Linked DNA regions of Mytilus edulis. The protein of the gene in region 2 interacts with the protein of the main gene of each other region in a pairwise test. Links are inferred from orthologs where the notes say so. Each region holds a gene or a part of one and is shown on either strand. Other genes may lie near its edges.

Evidence for each region.
Region 1: the proteins of protein kinase C iota type-like (region 2) and partitioning defective 6 homolog beta-like interact in a two-hybrid assay, tested with the Drosophila melanogaster proteins (2 studies listed by BioGRID). The link is inferred for Mytilus edulis from reciprocal best matches to the Drosophila melanogaster genes aPKC and par-6.

What each region holds. Positions count from the first base shown.
Region 1 is NC_092348.1:80,171,746-80,181,711, reverse strand, and holds the start of partitioning defective 6 homolog beta-like, read right to left. Parts: upstream 3,920-9,966; 5' UTR 3,798-3,919; coding exon 3,735-3,797; intron 1-3,734.
Region 2 is NC_092356.1:9,159,347-9,169,224, forward strand, and holds the start of protein kinase C iota type-like, read right to left. Parts: upstream 4,399-9,878; 5' UTR 4,205-4,398; coding exon 4,158-4,204; intron 831-4,157; coding exon 762-830; intron 1-761. UniProt on the Drosophila melanogaster protein: Serine/threonine protein kinase which is required for apico-basal cell polarity in the germ line as well as in epithelial and neural precursor cells, for epithelial planar cell polarity and for cell proliferation.

The DNA.
Region 1 (9,966 bases), on a different chromosome or scaffold from region 2:
GTTATGTCATTTTGTTAACTAGGATATCTCTGATTAACTTTAAGAGGGTGTCCATGGAAAAACCAGGCAGTGGATGGCACATGACATATTTTGTTTTCAAAATGTTTTCATCTATTTCATATCACAAATTAATTTTTTCTCCAAGTTAAATTTTGTTTTTTATTTACTGGAAGAAAGAAAAAATACATAGAAAGTACTGAAAATTCATTGAAAAGGGGAGATAACTCTTCATTTTGTACCAAATTTTGTTGCATTGTTAGTGAACTTTAAAATCATTTTCTGAGCCATCCACTGTTGATTCAAAAATATCTTTGACATATATATCCTTTGTATGACATAAACATTGCATTGGAACCAAAAATTCAGTGGGAAAAAAATTATGTTGTGCCACCCACATCATAAGATTTGCCTGATATTTACTTGGACAGCCTCTTTCAAAAACAACTCAACAGTCCAACAAACTATATATTATCCAAAACATTTACATTTCCATTACAAAAAGTGTTAGATTAGACATTAATGTTAACAAGCAGCTGCAACTGAATCAAAGCCTTAAAGGTTGTAAAAGCAATTGCTGCCATGTTAATGTTTTGGGAACTTTTATTTTTCATCCACATACAGTTGTATATATAATAATTAAACCTGACAGGAGTGTTGTCTAGTGAGAAGTAAGAAGGTTTTATATCAATAAAAGACTTTAGAAGAGAGTCATTTTTAATATGTTTTATATTTCACAATTTACAACACGTTTACCAGGCTAAAGTTCCAGTCAAATATCCATGTGCTGAAACATATAACTCAAAAAGAAATCATCATGAATTATCCCCTGGTACTGTTTGTAACTGGGCAGTAATTTCCGTTATTGGTCTAATTTTAACAATTTTCATAATTAATTTAAATTTACCCATTCAGTTAAAACATTTCAACTTTCCAAATGTAAATGTTGAAAAACAGGAAAGAAATAAAACATCTTACAAGACATAAACATGGATAAATTCTTAGTTTTTAATTAGGTCTTTCCACCTTTCCGTGGAAAGACCTAGCCTATTGATTTTGTTCTGTCAGATTATTATTTTTTTTTTTTTCTTCCGCCTAAATTTTTTCTTGCGTATTGTTGATGTTTCAAAAGATGTCGCTTAGATATTTGGAATATGATATCGTATAGTTTATACGCTTTAAAAATTTTCAACCGCGTAACAAAATACTTTACGTTGTAAGAGTTATCTCCCCAAACACTGTTTTTCTTGTGGCCACTACTCCTTCGCAACCGTAAAAGATTACGACAAATTTATTTTACCAAATTGCTCGTTACATCTTCAGGATTAGTAGTTTAGTTTCGACCGAAGCTATCCGGAGACTCCATATGACAGTTATTCCCCCTCATGTATTTGATATAAGTGAAATGCATTTCTAACTGGTAAACCATAAGTAATAGAGACCTAGGGTCTTTTGATTTGAGATCCTTGGTCCAAAAAAATAAAATAAGGTCAAGGTCAAAGGTCAAGGTCATATTCTAAATTTTTATTTTGGCTTATTTTTACTTATTTTCAAAACCTTACAACATATCAACATCTTATTTTCACTAAATTGTTAGTTACGACATGCCGTTACTTATAAATTTTGGTTGACAGAGTGCGTAAACAATAAATAGGAGTTTTCGCCCATCTTATATTTAGAATTATGAGTAAAGTGATATAACTCATTAACCATATATAATAAAGACCTAGGGTCTTTTGATTTGAGATCCTTGGTTTATGACCTTGAAATTGAGATCAAGGTCATAGGTAATTTGCACATTCTAGATTTGGCCTTTGCTTTAAATTCATATTTATACATTATAAAGCCATAGGAACTGACATTTTAGATTGATTTTTAATATTTTGATAATAAAATAGATCTTAACTTGTGGAAAGACCTTCAATTGTTCTTTGAACAATTGGTTTTTAATTCTAAATATTTTTCTTTTTTAAAACAATTTTTTATAGAAAAACAAGTACCAAGCTTCCCTTTTTCAGAGTTAATTGTTTGATACTTCAGTTTATTCCAAAATGATTTAAACTTTTACATAGTTTATTTTTAACATACTGACATAAAGAACCAATTGATTGGTCAAAATTTGGTATTTCAATCTCTCTCTGAATATAATCTACATGTATACTAGAATACCATGTATTTACATTAGAACTATGTAACTGTTTACAACATATAATTGCATCAAATAATAATCCTTCTGTCAAACGTTCCAGTCTATGACAATATTTTACAATTGATAAAATTATAGTAAAATACATAGGAAATCTATGGTATATTGGTATGTGTATATGTAATATGAAATTTGTTTACAAAATATCAGTGTTGTTTGTTTACATATTCATCCCAACAAAGAAAATATTCATGTACATCATACACGTCATATGCACAGATCTAGAGGAACCCAAAAAATCTGTAAAGTTTAGGTAGTAAGTATACAGTGCAACATTATCATATTGAGTTTAAAGAAGACTTATCAATGATGCTCCAATAAGAAAAGTTTAAAGAGGGTAGGAATGTCCTGTCCCTTCAGGCATCAAACAGTAATTTTTAGCTTGTTTCATTAAAATATTTTCATTGTGATTTGTTCCAGGTGTCAACTAATTATTGTTACCTTTAATTTGGAAAGAAAACAAAAAAATAAGGTGATTTGTCAAAATCAGCTAAAATTTGTTTATAATCTTGAAGAAAGTATAAAAAAGAAGATGTGGTATGATTGCCGATGATTCACTATTCACAAGAGACCAAATGACACAATTAACAGCTATAGATCACCATACATCCTTCAACAATGAGCCAAGCCCATACCGCATAATCAGTGTAAATTTTATGTATAGTCAAATACATGCACCAAAAATTACCCATAACCATGTTAACATCATTTTGCAAGATTTTCTACCATCTTTCATCTTGAACTTACCCCCATTATGGCCCTCTTTTTTTTTTTAAAGAAGATAATTAAATCAAAACAAGATCTTGAAGCATTGTTTTAAAACTATTAAAAAGTTTCTAGACTGAAAATACCATACAGATACATATGCAGCGCCCTACAACTTGCTCAAAATAGTCATAAAAAAATGCAAAAATTAGCACTTGTTTGCTAAATTTTATTTACTCTAAAAAAAAAAATACTAAAAATAAATATAATGCTTCTATACAGATACTTGTGCAGCGCCCTGCAACTTGCTCAAAATAGTCATAAAAAAAATGCAAAAATTAGCACTTTGCTAAATTTTATTTACTCTAAAAAAAAAAAAATACTGAAAATTAATATAATGCTTCTTTACTATTATAAACAGTATCAATGAGATCTTTCAACACTAAGTCCCATTTTTTCTATGCTATGTGCAATCCCCCCACCCCTACCATTATCTTTTATTTTGATGAAATAGTTGTTAATACATAAAATTTGTCAGGATAAGAAAATATGTAAATAATGACTCATTGTGTGACATGTGTATTCAAGCATGCAAATTTCGCAAATGACCTGTCATAAAAGGGTGTATTTTTAGAAAATTTTAGTGTTAAAATTTTCCTATTCTCCATTCCCTATAAATGTAAAATAGAACTGCAAATGTTCGGCAAGAAATAACCCGAAATCGTCATAACGCTTTTTTGGTCGAAGTAATAAAATTGTTACCTGGATGAAGCTGTTGAACAGGTGTGACCCAGGTCATAACGAAATACCCAAAACTAAAAGTTACCTTGGATTTGACTTCTAACAAACTGTATCCTTGATGCAAAAAAGTCTTCGATGAACGTGACATGATGAAAATACAGCCCAAAGGGCTTTTTAATACTTTTTATTTTCTATTTCCACACCGTTGGTGTTATGTTGTTTATGAATGAACATTTACCTCTGACGTCACAAATTGTGTAGTATAATCTCGAAACAAAACGACAGGTGCGTGTTTTAGACAGTAGCTTTTACATTAACAATATGCAGTGGGTTTTTTTCTGCAAACTGCAAAGTCTATGTATTTTTCATTGTTTGTTTGACTTATTTATAGAAATATTCAAGTATGTTTAATCACAATACAACATGTACAAGCATTTCTGAAGTACACCAAGGCGGGAACCTTTGAAATAATAAAAGATTCATATAATAAGTTATGAGTCTTTTGTAGACGAAACGCGCGTCTTGCGCATGTATTTACAAAATTTAGTCCTGGTATCTATGATGAGTTAATTAACTATGTACAACTTGAATCGGCCGTTGAAATAATTAGAGACAGACCTGTCATGCAGTATATATAAGAATGATAAAATGATATAAAAATGAGACATATTACTAGTATAAATACAATTTTATAATATCTCTGTTTTAAAATGTAGAGAAAACTGACAATCGGACACAGGCACTTGTTTTCTATCCATGGCAAGATCTAGACTACTATCGATATATAGGGATAGTAGATCTTGCCATGGATAGAAAAGGGATAGTAAATCTTGCCATGGATAGAAAAGGGATAGTAAATCTTGCCATGGATAGAAAAGGGATAGTAGATCTTGCCATGGATAGAGAGCAAGTATATAGGCATCGTAGATCTTGCCATGGATAGAAAACAAGTGCCTGTGGGTATGGGCTTTATTTATTGTTGAAAGTCGTAAGATGACATATATAGTTGACATAGTTGTTATTTTCAGTTTTTCATTTTGTCTCTTGTGAAGTTTTGTCAGGCTTATTTACAATGCTTGATCATCTGTTCATTTTTAGGTCGGTAGTAAGAGCTATTTCAAGCTCATATTTATTGTTGACTGTACCAGAGACATATATACACATGTGTATATATGTCTCTGACTGTACATATGTGCCGATTCTAAATGAAATTTATTCATTGACTTTCCATATTAAAATAATAAAACAAAGTCATCGATGAAGCTATGATAATACAAGATCACAAAAATATTTTGATACAGTTGATCTGACATTCTATATTTATGGCAGACGATTACAGAACTAGAGAAGATGGCTGGATAACAAACATGCTTACAAAATTAGAGCTACAGGAATTACAACTGAAACGCACAAGCCAAACACTTATATTTTTGTACAAGGTGGTTGAGGTGCTGGTTCCTGCTATTGATCCAGACGACTTCCTCAAATTAGGAAGACCAAGAAGAACCATCACATGCAGCTAAAAAGTTTAACAATTATCAAGCAAATAACTTAGTTGAAAAACAAGTGAGAAACAATACTAGGTGTTTTGACATTCCTACCAGTAAAACACCGCAACATTCAAATTCATCCTTCAGTGTGTCCACAACAATAAATTGGAACCACCTAGAAGACACTATTGTGCGCGCAACAAGTGTAGAGAGCTTTAAAGCTGCCTTCGCGAAACGTCAGTAAATCGACGGCGCCCAAACTAATTAAAATATTGATCTCTGATTTCGGTATCATGACTACATCATGTACATATACCCAATCTAATTAAAATATTGATCTCTGATTTCGTTATACTGCATATATAACGAAATCAGAGATCAATATGATCTTAATAAAATTGGACGGCGCCTTCCCTCCCGTTGTATTTTAAAAGCCAGATTTGGTAACTATACGACATATCCACGACAGATACAGATACAGATATGACTAGAAAAGTTAGAAAGTAATGTTTATGTCGTTTTAATATAATCGTTAAAAAAATATCCCCACATTTGGACAAAATTGGGTAGATACTTTGTTCTGTTCAAACCGAAAATTTGCAAAAGTTGGGATTTTTCACGTGGCAATGTTCAGTCAAAGTAGGCCGCTGCAATTACCATCCAAGACAATTCCAGCTCATGCATGCACTGTAATTGTGTAAAATAATAAGGAAACATTGGTCATGACTCAATAATATCTTACAAAAAGTGAACACAACACTTTTAAAAAGTTCCTTTGTAGGCCGAGGCATAGTCGAAATCGATCAAAAATTAAACTCTAGTAAAATATTATACACTATATAGCGGTTTTAGTTCTATGACATTTTGATACCGCATGCCCAGTATGTAAAAAGTAAGTTATATTTAGTAATTTTAAATAATGAATTATTATAGATATGAAAACAGAACTTCCTTAGATTTTAAATAATGTATTAAATAGTTTCTTTTTAAAAATGTAAATGTTTAAATTATGCTATTGGAGGAATACTAACATGGTCTAGACTTTGATTGTAAATTACTTTTAATATATATATTAAGTTAGTATAAAACCTGTCAAAGTCATCAAGATTCATTGTTTGGCTTTTGTACTGGAAGGTAATTAGTAAAAAAAAAAAAAAAGGATTTTTATTTAAAGAACAACTTGAATACACCAAATTATCTTACAGCCGTTTTACATGTGTTCCGCGTGCTCTGCCGTGTTGATTGTTTATCAATGTCACGTTTTGGTATCAAACTCGAAAGTTATTAAGCTTGCTATCAACAATTACTGTTTAACATAATCATTTGTTGAGATATAGATTCGTCAGTAATAAATGTAAAAAAAAACGTATACTCATGCATTGGTTCAATAATTTCAATAGCATAGTAATTTTAACTGAAAGAAAATCGTTTAATATGCGTAAATCTTTATTCTCGTAAACCAAAGTACAATGGTATAGAGACATATACAAATAAATTAACATACATAGTATGAATTTAAAATACAAATGTAAAGTAGAGACATACAGTGGTTACCCAGGAGATCAGTCTAGGCATTCAGTAATAATTATCCTTATAAACTCGCACTTTTAATGACTTTTACGTGATGTTCATATTTCAATAAATTTGATAAATGACCTTTATTTAAGTTGTAAAAGTAATGGACGAATCGTTACAGGAAAATCAGACAAGACGATTCCGTGCTAAGAAGACAGAAGATCATGGCACAATACAAAATGATACCAGAGATTCTAGAGATAGAAATGGAAATTCCTCATTTGTAAAAGTTTTGGCAGAGAACTTCTTATACAACTGACAACAAATAAATGCATGCACTAAATTACAAAGACTTCACAGTAAAACAGAAGATGCACAAACTATTAGATTCTAAATATTCAGTGAAAGTTCCTAATAGTTGGAATAATGGAGAAATATAACAATGAATCCATTGTACAATTTTTTTTCGAGAATGACCTACAACGGATATACGGTCGAATGCTCTAGATCAAAAGGTTAGAAAGCCCAAATTAGGCTATACACAATAAATAATAAAAAAACAAAAACGCTTGGGAGCATCAAAACCCAAATTCAAAAACATGTCTATTGACCTCTAGATGTCTTTGCTTTTTTTCCGTTTCGTTTGGTTGCCATCTCATTGACGTACGCGTAAACCATATCGCGAGAAATTTCACAACAGCAAAAAACAATTTTGATAATGCCATGATTATTTGAAAAATAAAAGTTCAATACTATTTTTCTATATGTGAGAGGAGAAGATAGCGACAGAAACTTAACAGCAATGGGATAAACTGTTATAGTAACGCAGAATACGTCACGGTTATAAAAATAACAATACTGAAAAAACACAGAACAGATAGGGGCACATGTACAGATTACAGAAGACAAAGACTTTAAGTACGTCAATCAAGACAAGATAGCTGATCTTCTAATGGTTTGCAAATTACCGTTTGATAGTGTTCATTCATTTATTTCAGTTAGTTAAAAAGACAGAATGTACTCCAGTCTAAGTTCAATATCTGCCGTTTCTTTACAATTCTTGAGACTTAAAATAGTCTCCATTTACAATGTTGATTATATAAAATATTCATCTCCATATCCCCACTGAGGTGTGTAAACAAATTAAGCATTTATAAGCTAGCAAAATTATACACAGCTATGCAATTATTTTAGGCAACTCTCAGTAATCTAAATGAATAATTTTATATAGATATAAGCCTGAAGATGTGGTATGAGTGCCAATGAGACAACTCTCCACCAGAGACATATGTACACTATGTGTATAACATGACAGTACCCAAATTGCACCTATTTTGACAGTTTTTTCATCTACGTTTTTTTATTATAAAGAAAAAAATGTCCATTTTGTGTTTATTTTGTAGCTGTATCCTTCTTTATTATGGAGGTACACCAATTTGATTTTTAATCCATATGGAATCTTAGAAAAATTGGTCTAAACTGACCTCCAAATCATCAATGATTCTGAAATAAGTAGTACCCAAATTGCATCCATGCTTAAATTTGCATTGTCAAAAGTCTAATAACAGAGCTTTTGATTAAATTCTTCAAATATTTTGAACAATTGGATATTAGTCCATGCTTACTCTAAACAAAAAAATTTAAATGGATACTTGTAACATATTGTATTTGGTCATTTTAAAAAGATGACGTTTTGATGACGTTGCATGGCAACGTTTCAGTACATTTTGCTTTTTCAGTAAACACTTCATTTATTGATAAATACTGTGAACGTTTTGTAAAAATCTAAATATTTTCACCTATATTGAAAGATGTGCATAGTGTCAAATCATAAAAATACAAAGTGTTTAGTCTCTAGGAAATCTTGTAAGATGTCCGCTGCTACTTTTGCTAAATAATTGCAATTTGGGTACTCTGTGCAATTTGGGTACCGTTACGTAATATGTCTCTGTCTCCACCAAGTCAAATTTGTGAAAAGTAAACCATGTTCGTATCTTCAGAGATCTTCAACAGGTAGTCAAAAAGCTGTAAACAAAGACTTTATTTTTAAAGAGATCATTCACAGTTAGCAAAACATGAGACTACCATTACACAGCCGTCTCTAATTCCTAGTCATCGTCGGGAGCGTCTTCTTTGTGTATTTTGAGCGTATTTTTAACCAAGAGACTTGAGTTGTAAAAAAAGAGAGAGACGGAGTTATTTCTAAAGCCGGATATTTCATGCTATTTCCGACATTGTCCGAATCTTATAATCTCCTTTCTCCAAAACACTCCACGAAATCCAAAATGCCAAGAAAAAAACCAGCGCATCTCAAACCTTGGCTGATCGACGCTATACTTATGAATACGGAACCAACTAAGACAAATTCAGTCAAAGTTCTTAAGGTAATTTTGTTGAAGAGCATAGTCTAGAACAAAATGAAAGTATTTCTGATGAGTGATCATGACAAAATAATTTGCTTCACCATGCCAGTACCTTTTCAACTATAATTTCTGAACTTTATTCACATTATTTGTCTGTTTTAAACAATAACAAACCAGATTTCTTTTAATTCTTAAGTTGGCAGTTTTCCTGTAAAAGGTTGTGGTTCTCAATGGGTACTCTGGCTTCCTCTACCAAAAGAAAGACTATATAAATTTCCTTCTGTTCAAACTTCAAAAAATGAAACATCTTTAAGATAGAATTTATAGTTATCTCATGATCATACCATTGCAAACTCGTACCAATGTCTGTTTGTACTACTAAAAGCAAACTGGTACCAATGCAAACTGGTACCACTGCTAACTTCTTATTTTCCCTTAGTAAATACACCTAATCGCTATTTATTCCATTCAGGATAAGTTCTAAAATTACACAACTTTTTCATCCAGTTGAAGCTAGCTGGGAACCTGCTTAAACAACTCACCATGCATGATACTTTTTAATGAGACCTGTTTAAACTACCGTAAATTATACTAAATACTTCAAACAAAATATTTTTTTACTTTAATTTTAATTTCGAAAAGTGGATCATACTCTATCAAAGTTTCTTGATGATCGCTTTCTAAAGTTTTTCCTCCCTCAGCTCACTACTGATGACCTCTATATATATTCGGCGGCCTGACCCAAACAGGAAGTTGTATAAACTACTGTTTTTCCCGGATTGCAATTTTATGCTGTGGACTAAATAGCGATGAGGTGTATTGGATAAAGGAAACCGTGGCAGATTATCTTTGTTGTCTCCCTTGGACAGTTCCTTTATTAAACTTTTACTGACAACTATTTGATTTAATTTTAAACCATTACAAATTAGTAACTAAACATTGAATAGAT
Region 2 (9,878 bases):
CTTTGTACTTGTTTGGTTTTATAAATATTTTGATATGAGCATTACTGATGAGTCTTATGTACAAAAAATGTAGACAAAACGAAAATCTGGCGTACTAAATTATAATCCTGGTACCTTTGATAACTATGTTCATGAACTATCAACAATGTTCTAATGATTGCACATGTTTGTACCTAACTATTAAATATCCTAGTTATTTATTGTATCACTGAATAGAATTTACATGATCATGATCATAGGGAATTCGATAGCTAACATAAAATGATTTACTAGTACTTCATTCTTTTTGTAATCATGGTAATAGATTTGAAGGCAGTCTCCATCTGAAGTTATCCAGGTTAGGGGAAGGGTTTGAATCCCGCTAACATGTTTAACCCCGCCATATTCTGTACATTGCTGTATGTACTTGTATGCGCCTGTCCCAAGTAAGAAACCTGTAATTCAGTGGTTGTGGTTTGTTTTTGTGTTTCATATTTGTTTTTCGTTCATTTTTTGTACATAAAAAAGGCTGCTAGTTTTCTCATTTAAATTATTTTACATTGTCATTTCAGGTCCATTTATCATGATAGCTGACTATGTGGTATGGGCTTTGCTCATTGTTGAAGGCTGTACGGTGACCTATAACTGTCAATTTCTGTGTCATGTTGGTCTCTTGAGGAGAGTTGTCTCATTTTTTAAATTTACTTAGATTTTTATATAGTTGTTGGAATGCTGTATATATGTCTTATAGAAATAATCCCTTATCCAATAGGATTACTTACCCACTATATCCAACCTTCATACGTATTCCATTATCATCATCCATTCTTTCTTGTGTTGGCATGATTCTTCTAAAAAAATAAAAATTGATAATATACTATACACATACATGTTTACTGTGAATTCATTTATTTTTGTTGAACACCAATTTTTGTGGGTTTCCTGGTTACAGGTGAACCACAAATTCAAATGTTACACGAATAACATATTTGCAATACACTTTATATATACAGAGATTGACAAAACCACTAAACATTCTTAAATTAAATATCTACAAAAATAGAACTTTTCAGCAATCCACAAGAATTTATACCCACGAAAATAAATGAATCCAAAGTGTGTGTACAGTAATACAGTATGTACGAATATTATTGGTACATATATGTCATGTATGTATTATCTTTTATTAACTGAGTGTCCTTGTTATGACATGTCAATCATTTTTATCCTACATGTACATCCTGTACTGAAGAGCTTACCTCATGTACATGTATCTCATTGATAAGAATACAAGTTTTTTATCATTGCATGAGGAGTCTAAACTAAAACTTTTATCTTATTCCAGATAATAAGAGGGATCTTTCCAAACTTATAAAACTTTTGTAAATATTTTCTATTTTGTTGTTTTGATGACATAGAAAGAAGATGTGGTATGATTGCCAATGAGACAACTATCCACAATAGACCAAAATGACACAGACATTAACAACTATAGGTCACCATACGGCCTTCAACAATGAGCAAAGCCCATACCGCATAGTCAGCTATAAAAGGCCCTGAAATGATAAGACCATGTAAAACAATGTTGATTGAATACCACATACCCGTAGCTAGGGGGGTTGGAAAAACCCCCTTGAAAACAAATAAGCACTGTTAAAGTCAACGTTCTGTTCGAATTGTGACTGTTAAAGTCGAGTTTGTGAGTCCAAATACCCCCCCCCTGGAAATTCCTGGCTACGAGCCTGTACCATACTACATGTACACTGTCGTTTAAACAAATAAATGCATTTGTAATTGATATTCAATATTAGTTTCTTTTCATAACATTTTTCAGACCATTTTACAATTTAGAGCTTATATTATTGTTGAAAATGGTGTTAATCATGTTTATATTACTTCAACATTCAATATTTGATAAATCCATTTAATGATAAAATTTAATCAATAAGTGGTTAATCAAAAATTCAAACATGGGTTTAAGAAAGCTTTTTGTTTTAATCAAGAATGTTAAGTATTTACAAACATTCAATGTCCCTTGTCAAGTGTCAACAATGTATTGAAGAAGTGGAAATCACAATCATTATTTTCTTTAAAAATATCAGCATGACCAGTAAAAGAGCTCCTGGACAATATGACTAACAAACTAAAATCGAGCTCCTTCCTTGTGTTGTGGTTCTTAGCTGTCTATGTGTTTCATCAAATTTAAATGAGACAAATTTGACCATATGTTGACCTGGAGGGGAAAAACCCAGACCAGACGGGCATATTAAATTATAATACTGGTACATTTTTGTACCTTTGATAACTATTTACACCACTGGGTCGATGCCACTGCTGGTGGACGTTACATCCCTGAGGGTATCACCAGCCCACTAGTCAGGCTCAGCACTTTGGTGTTGACATTAATATCAATGATATGGTCATTTTTATAAATTTCCTGTTAGAAAACTTTGAATTTTTAGAAAAACTAAGGATGTTCTTACCCCAGGAATAGATTACCTTAGAGCTCTGTATTTGGCACAACCTTTTTTTGTAGAATTTTGGGTACTCAATGCTCTTTAACTTTTTACTTGTTGGGCTTTATTACTATTTTGATCTGAATGTCAGTGATGAGTCTTATGTAGACGAAATGCGTGTTTGGTTATTAAATTATTATCCTGGTACCTTTGATAATTAATTACACATTTAATTGACAATCTTTTATGCATGGCCTAAGAATTAATTCTTCACAGTCTCCTGCTTGAAAACCAATTTGTGATCTACATTAAGATACATGTGGCCCTTTACATTATAGTGCATTTGTAAAAAAATAATCATTGTAGCGCTGCAAGCAAACAGTCACTTCTCTTCAAAACTCAACATTTCTCCCTATCAATTACATAAAGGACAAGTCACTTCTCCCAATCATTTTTAGATGACGAAGTACTGTAGTGTGAGCTTTTTTTCATAAGAACATTATTAATAAAAATATGATTCCTTGTTGATTCAACTGAATGTTACATTCTATAGAGTTTATTTCTTTTTACATTTTGAAAGATCATATTATTTTAATGATGTGGTGACATGCCATGTTTGATGACCAACCTTGAACAATCATCAAATTATGGACATGATGAATTACAAAACCATTCTTCTTTTTGTAATTTCTTTTGAACTCAATTTAAATATTTATTTTACTATTTAAAAAAAAACATTTGTAATTGCATTTTTCAAAATTTAAGGTTCATGTGGACCCTATGGCTAAAATGGCCGTATTTTCACCTCAAAATTTTCTCTGAGTACAGGCAAACTTGTGCATCTAAAAAAGTTTTAAGGCATAGCATGCCCTAGATAAATAGAATTCAAATGCATTGTATGATTGAGAAAATTTATAACTTAACTGGATTTTGCTGTACACTTTTTTTCGTCTCTGCAGAAGATGATAAAATTAACAAACAGTTGAGTTTACCTTGATATGGTCCACTCAGGTACACAGTTTAAATAACCAATTATTGTCAGGTATCTATTGTCCATCTAATGTCCATGTCAATTAAAAATGCTCACTTTAATTTTTACCTGTGGGGAAGTTCTCAAACCTGTTTCCCAACTTAGTTTATTTTGGCACCTTCTGGAGGAATGAAAAAAGTGCACGGCAAAATCCTGGTAAGTTTTCATTTATCTAGGGCATGCTATGCCTGAAATGTTTTACAGATGCGCAGGTTTGTCTGTACTCAGAGTAAATTTTGAGGTGAAAATACGGCCATTTTAGCCATAGGGTCCACATGAACCTTAAGACTATACATTCATCATATTGATGTTTGAAAATATTGTGTCATTTTATTCATATTTCAGTTTCATACTACATTTATCTTAATCATGTTAATAAATGAAATTGGCTCAGCACCCTTTAGTATTGCTGGATATAAGCTGAGACTACTATAGTGTTAAAGTAGTCTCAGATATAATGGTAAATACAAAATGTAGCAAAAAGGAGGGATACTTGTAACTTATCATTTTGGAAACTATTTCCAAAGCTATCTCTTTTAGCATTCTGTGATACTTGTTCACCATTTGAAATCATACAAGGATCATTTTAGCTGAGTGGTATCAACCAATGTGCTATAGAAAGCCAACGTCTTTGATATGCTTGATAAGGTGTCTAATTTTGACAGGTGCCCAACCTGTTTTAGTGTTTGTACCTCCATAAACAACTCGGATATTTTTGTGGTCTCTTAACACAAAACATCCACCCACTTGCAACAAGGAAACAAGAACCAACTTTAACACCATTTCATTCTTTAGGGAACTTATAAAGAACGATAGACATCAAAATATGAGACTTTTTGTCGGTCGACCAGCGCCGGAACATCAGGTGTGTCCCTTTGGTCCCCGGAAAGAAAGTGGCCGACCAACTTCATCTCGACCGAATTCTGTTCACGGTATCAACACTTTTAAATGAATAACATCAGTAAGAATAATAAGAAATACATGTTTGTATATATTTACCTTTAACTTACTTCTAAATGAAAACAGAGTTTCAGTTTTTAAAGTCCGTCCATGTTTACAAAGAAACCGGAAATCACGTGACTTGTCGTTTTTTAAAGGTATTTCCCAATTTTGAATACCATATGATCCTATATGCTTTCTATCTCATGCTTATTGAAATGTTTTATTTGAGATATATTTTTTTGAGTTGAGATAAAGGTGCTATTAGAAGTATTGATTTGAACTGGCAAAATATTGAAACATTTATGACCAAAAATGGACAACACATTTTTATTGGTTGACTCAGTTTTAGGATTCCCTAATATAGGTATAGTAAGATGCTACTACAGATTATACATGGTCCGGAGAAGGAAAATGAATTTCGATTGAACTTGACCGTCATTTTTTATTTTCTAGTTTACCTAATATATATTGTTTTAACATGTTTAATTAGAACGTTTTAATCACTGAGGTAAAAAAAAAAGAGTGCTTCGACTGTTGAAAACGGCATAGGACAAAAGTGGCACTCTAAAAATGTCCTATAATTTTTTACTAAAATCGATATATTTCAAAATATATTACCAAGTATTAAAGTTACCGTATGAGCGAGTTTTATAAAATATATACAATATTAAATATGTACAAATGTCTGAAGTTTTATTGTTTTATTTGACCGTATTTTTTGGTTTCATTATTTAATGGGTTAAACACAATTAATTGCAGCTGCTTATGATTTTAATCAAGACTTGGTTTTAAAAGAAAATATAGCAAACCGTGGCTTTCAAGGGATTTTTTTACTCTGTGTTCACCTCGACATAAAATTAAAATGAGCATGAATAATATCATGGCCAAATAAAAATTAAACTTTAAACATGTCTAAATCTTACTCATTTTTACTGTATTCATGTAGTTATTTGGTATCTTTTTTTTTTTTTTTAAATATTTGAGTTTAGTTGAAATGATAGGACATTTATTTTAGTGGGAACTCATTTTTGTCCAATGACTGTATGCTGAGTCGACTGTACTGACATCAGCAACACGACAAATGCCACATGTGGAGCAGTATATTCTTACCCTTCCGAAGCACCTGTAATCACTGCATGGTATAGTTTTCAGTGGGGCAAGTTCGTGTTGCCCCGATACTCTACGTTTTCTTCCGTTAGTCAATAAAGGATTATTTATCCCGCATCAGGGCCGTCAAATTCTGATTGCAGGACTACTTTACATTGTGTATTTACATTTTTTTTAATAGATGTCGGTTCGATCGGTGGAGTTTAAAAAAAAAACATGATGAATGGATTCATTATATAGAAGAGGGACGAAAGATACCAAAGGGACAGCCAAACTCATAAATCTAAAACAAACTGACAACGCCATGGCTAAAAATGAAAAAGACAAACAAACAGCACACACGACACAACATAGAAAACTAAAGAATAAACAACACGAACCCCACCAAAAAACTAGGGGTGATCTCAGGTGCTCCGGAAGGGTAAGCAGATCCTGCTCCACATGCGGCACCCGTCGTGTTGCTTGTGTGATAACAAATCCGGTAAATAGTCTAATTCGGTAGGTCACATTCATGAAAGGGCAGGGGAATGTAGTTACGACGTAAGGAACATATCCGATATCATTTGTGAAACGGTTATTCCATAACGGTCAACCAACTCGTAATGGCGTCCGAAAAATTTACGAAGGGATGATTTCAACTTCACCATTTGGAACTCTTGGTTTACTAGCTTCCTTGTGAGCAGCAACCCTCTATCAAGAAAATCATGATAGGAAATGCAAGCACGGGAATATCGTATCAATTGGGAGATATATACCCCGTATGCAGGTGCTGCTGGAATGTTGCTACTTAGAAATGGAAAGTTCACAATTGGAAAGTTGAAATCATCTCTTTTGTCGTAAAGTTTTGTTTTCAACCGACCCTCATTGTCAATTTCTAGATGTAAGTCAAGATATGAGGCCGACTTAACTGTATCTGTAGTATCCTTTATCTCTAGCTCGATTGGATAGATGCGTTCCACATAGTCACCAAATTTTGAATTATTTAGTGAAAGAACATCATCTATATAGCGAAAAGTAGAGTTAAAGGATATTGCTAACTTCTTATCTTTCTTCATAAGAAGTTCCTGCATGAAGTCAGCCTCATAATAATAAAGAAACAAGTCGGCAAGTAAAGGGGCACAGTTTGTTCCCATTGGAATGCCGACAGTCTGTTGGAAAACACGTCCTCCGAACGTAACAAATATGTTGTCAATCAAGAAATCAAGCATCTTGATAATATCAGTTTCAGAGAATTTTTTGTTCGAATCAGAGTGATCCTTTACAAAGTAGGATTTATCCCTCCTTAAGACAAGATACTTGTATCTACGTTGGTCATTCTTTTTTACGAAGCAAAGCAATACCAACTCTTTCAATTTGTCTTTTAGTTTGGAATGTGGAATACTAGTGTACAGAGTAGAAAAGTCAAATGTTTTAATACTGTTACAAGATGAAAGAGAGTTAGATTGTATGTACTCTAAAAGATCTTTGGAATTTTTAAGTATCCACATCTGATTCACGCCCCCTCTAGAATAGGCAGTTTCACAATAACTTTGAAGCCCGTCTTTCATTGCTGATAAAATAGATGTTAATAAGTTAGAAAGAGGTTTTGTGGAGCACTTGGAAGACCCAGCAATATACCGTTGTTGTAAGGACACTTATGTAGTTTAGGTATCCAATACAGTGATGGCAGATCTAGTTCTTCATCTTTGGTTGAAATTCCAAAGAAACACAGAACAGACCTATGATTATTCAGGATTTCCTCTTTGGTAAGTGTCGTGGGGGTATATGTTGAGTTTCCAAGTGAATTGTCAATACCTAATTCGTTTATCAAGCAGTTAATGTAATGAGTTTTACATACAAAAACGATGTTGTTTGGGGCTTTATCTGCGGGGACAACAACATATTTGTCATGGAGGTAGGATAGGTGTTTTGCAACATTTGGGTCTTTAAAGATTGACGTAGCATGGGCATTGATAGACCCATTCAGTTTCTTAATTCTGTATCAACGACCCCACTGCCATAATCCATTCGGAAAGAGTGTCTACGTCTTCCTTCTCGCGCTTAGCCCATTGCCTGGCATAATCCTCAACTGAATCCATCAAAATTTTAAAGTTGTATTTCCAATTTATGGATTTAGGGTCACGATATTTCGGACCTTTCGATATCACATCGTAGAGAAGTGTTATTAACAATGTTGAGGTCACCGGTAATAACGTGACCAGCAGGATTATATGTGAATTGGGAACTAGCACAAGTGCAATCAGGAGGTTTAGACTTGAAGTCGTCAATATCGAGATCCTGCGAAACGTGTTTGTAATTTTAGTTGAAATAGGTTTGGTATAGGTATAAGAAATGATTGGTACAGACTGGTCTTTGAAATAAGGAGGTATTTTCGATTGAACTAATTTATGATGAAGGATATTGCCTAAGTTGACGCCATCGATACCTTTGTTGGCAAAGGAAAGATTAAGGAACGATCTTTTCTCTTTTTCATCTTTGCCAATGCGGACTGGCTTGAAAAGTCTGTGACTTGCAATATCCGAAATTATAGCTGTAATTTTGTATTGGTTTGAATGAGGGTTTGTAACAGTGGATTCCAAACATAAAATGAACAGAGAATGAAGTTTTGAAAGGGGTAATGAATATAAAGTTTCGTGCGAATGTGATGAATACCTAACGGCTTTTGTATAAATGGCAGCAAGTCATTAATAGATACATCATGCAGAGAAGGTGATGTATAATGACGATGACCATGACTGCGTCTACGTCGAGGAGTCGAGTTGAAAATATTCATCACATTCATAGAGTTACACGAAGGACTAGATAAAATACCTATACCATCAATTTTGTCATTGCAACCATAAGGTGTCGCAGTGTCCAATTGTCTAATCCAGTAGTCCTCTTTTTGTCTACGGAGAGTTCAGTGTTGAAAGATTAGGATTGTTAGAGCTATGGTATATCTTTTCGATAATGCGAACTGTCATGGAAACGATGGAATAACCGGGCTGATTGAAATGCTGGTATAGAATGTCGTTAGCATTGAGGCTTATGTCTGATCTATGACCGCACATACGTTTGTTTAGCCTTCATTTCGTTTCACCGACGTATACCAATCTGCAAAGGTTGCACTCTAATCCGTAGACGACATTTATCGATTTACAATTCAGATCATCGTAACTTCTGGTAACATATGACTTCTTGGTCAAATTGCTAGTGAATTCAGCATCTGTAATTAAAATTGCACAAGTTTTGCAGCCTTTGGTCTCACATTTCGAAATGCGACAGTGTTGTACTGTGTCATCAAAAACCAAAATGTCTTTAAGGAGAACTGAACATGGCTGTATATGTGTAATATTGCTGTTGTCACTAGGACGATGATCTGAATGAGTCATGTTTGTCATGTCTGGTGATGAGGGGACACCTGCCGTATCAGACGACACCGTGTCCATGGTGACGTCTGTTTCGGACCTTTTTATACTGGGCGACGTCCGAGCCAGTTTCCTGTTAGATCTTCGTAAATTCATGCAATGGTAGTATAGGTGTGCTGTTATGTCTATGGCTATTGCTCGATAGAAATTTGACCAGTCTCATTTTTGGAAATTTTCTTGATCTTCAATTGTGTCAATCCTGTTGTCAAGATTCCATTCTTTGATTGTTAAGGGGTAAACCATGTTTTGATACTCCACAGTGCTGTATTTTGGCTACATTATTTACATGGAGTGACTGTATTTTGGTCGTCTAGTATTCGATAGATAGTGTAGTATTGCAGTAACTCTGTTGTAACTTGATGTTACATACTGGTTTGGAATGTTATAAGACTAGCCTCATTACGGCTGTCGTCTTTTCCCCTAAGTTGGACAGTTTTAGTATGACTGTCACATGATGTTTATCCTAGGTCCTAATTCGGTATTGATAGATGCTTGGTACGAATCTCGCTGCATGGTGTTGTGCCATCTTTGTTCTATGTACATCCTTTTTCCAGTGGGTTCCCTTACCGAGCTGTTGTATTCAAGAGGTGGTTTAACTAGTACCAAATATACTTGGTCTTGATGTTTTGCGGACAATTGGGTAAATTTCGTTATATATAATAACGTTATAAGGTGGCCTTATTTACGTTTTTGTGATGTGTTGATTCTAGTTTAATTAGTTTATTGCCAAGTTCAACTCCAAGATATGTGGTTATGTTTACTTCTATTAAATAGAGTCTTGTAGGAGTAATATGGTTGATTGATTTTTCCATCGGATGTTGTGGGTTGCCTGGAATAAATAGCGCTTTTGGTGTCGAAATATACTTTACAGTCTAGAGACCACCTTTCTAACCCTGCCATTGTTTTATTTTTTTAGTATTTTGGTGTCTGTAGGAGATTAGATGTTTTTTTTATATT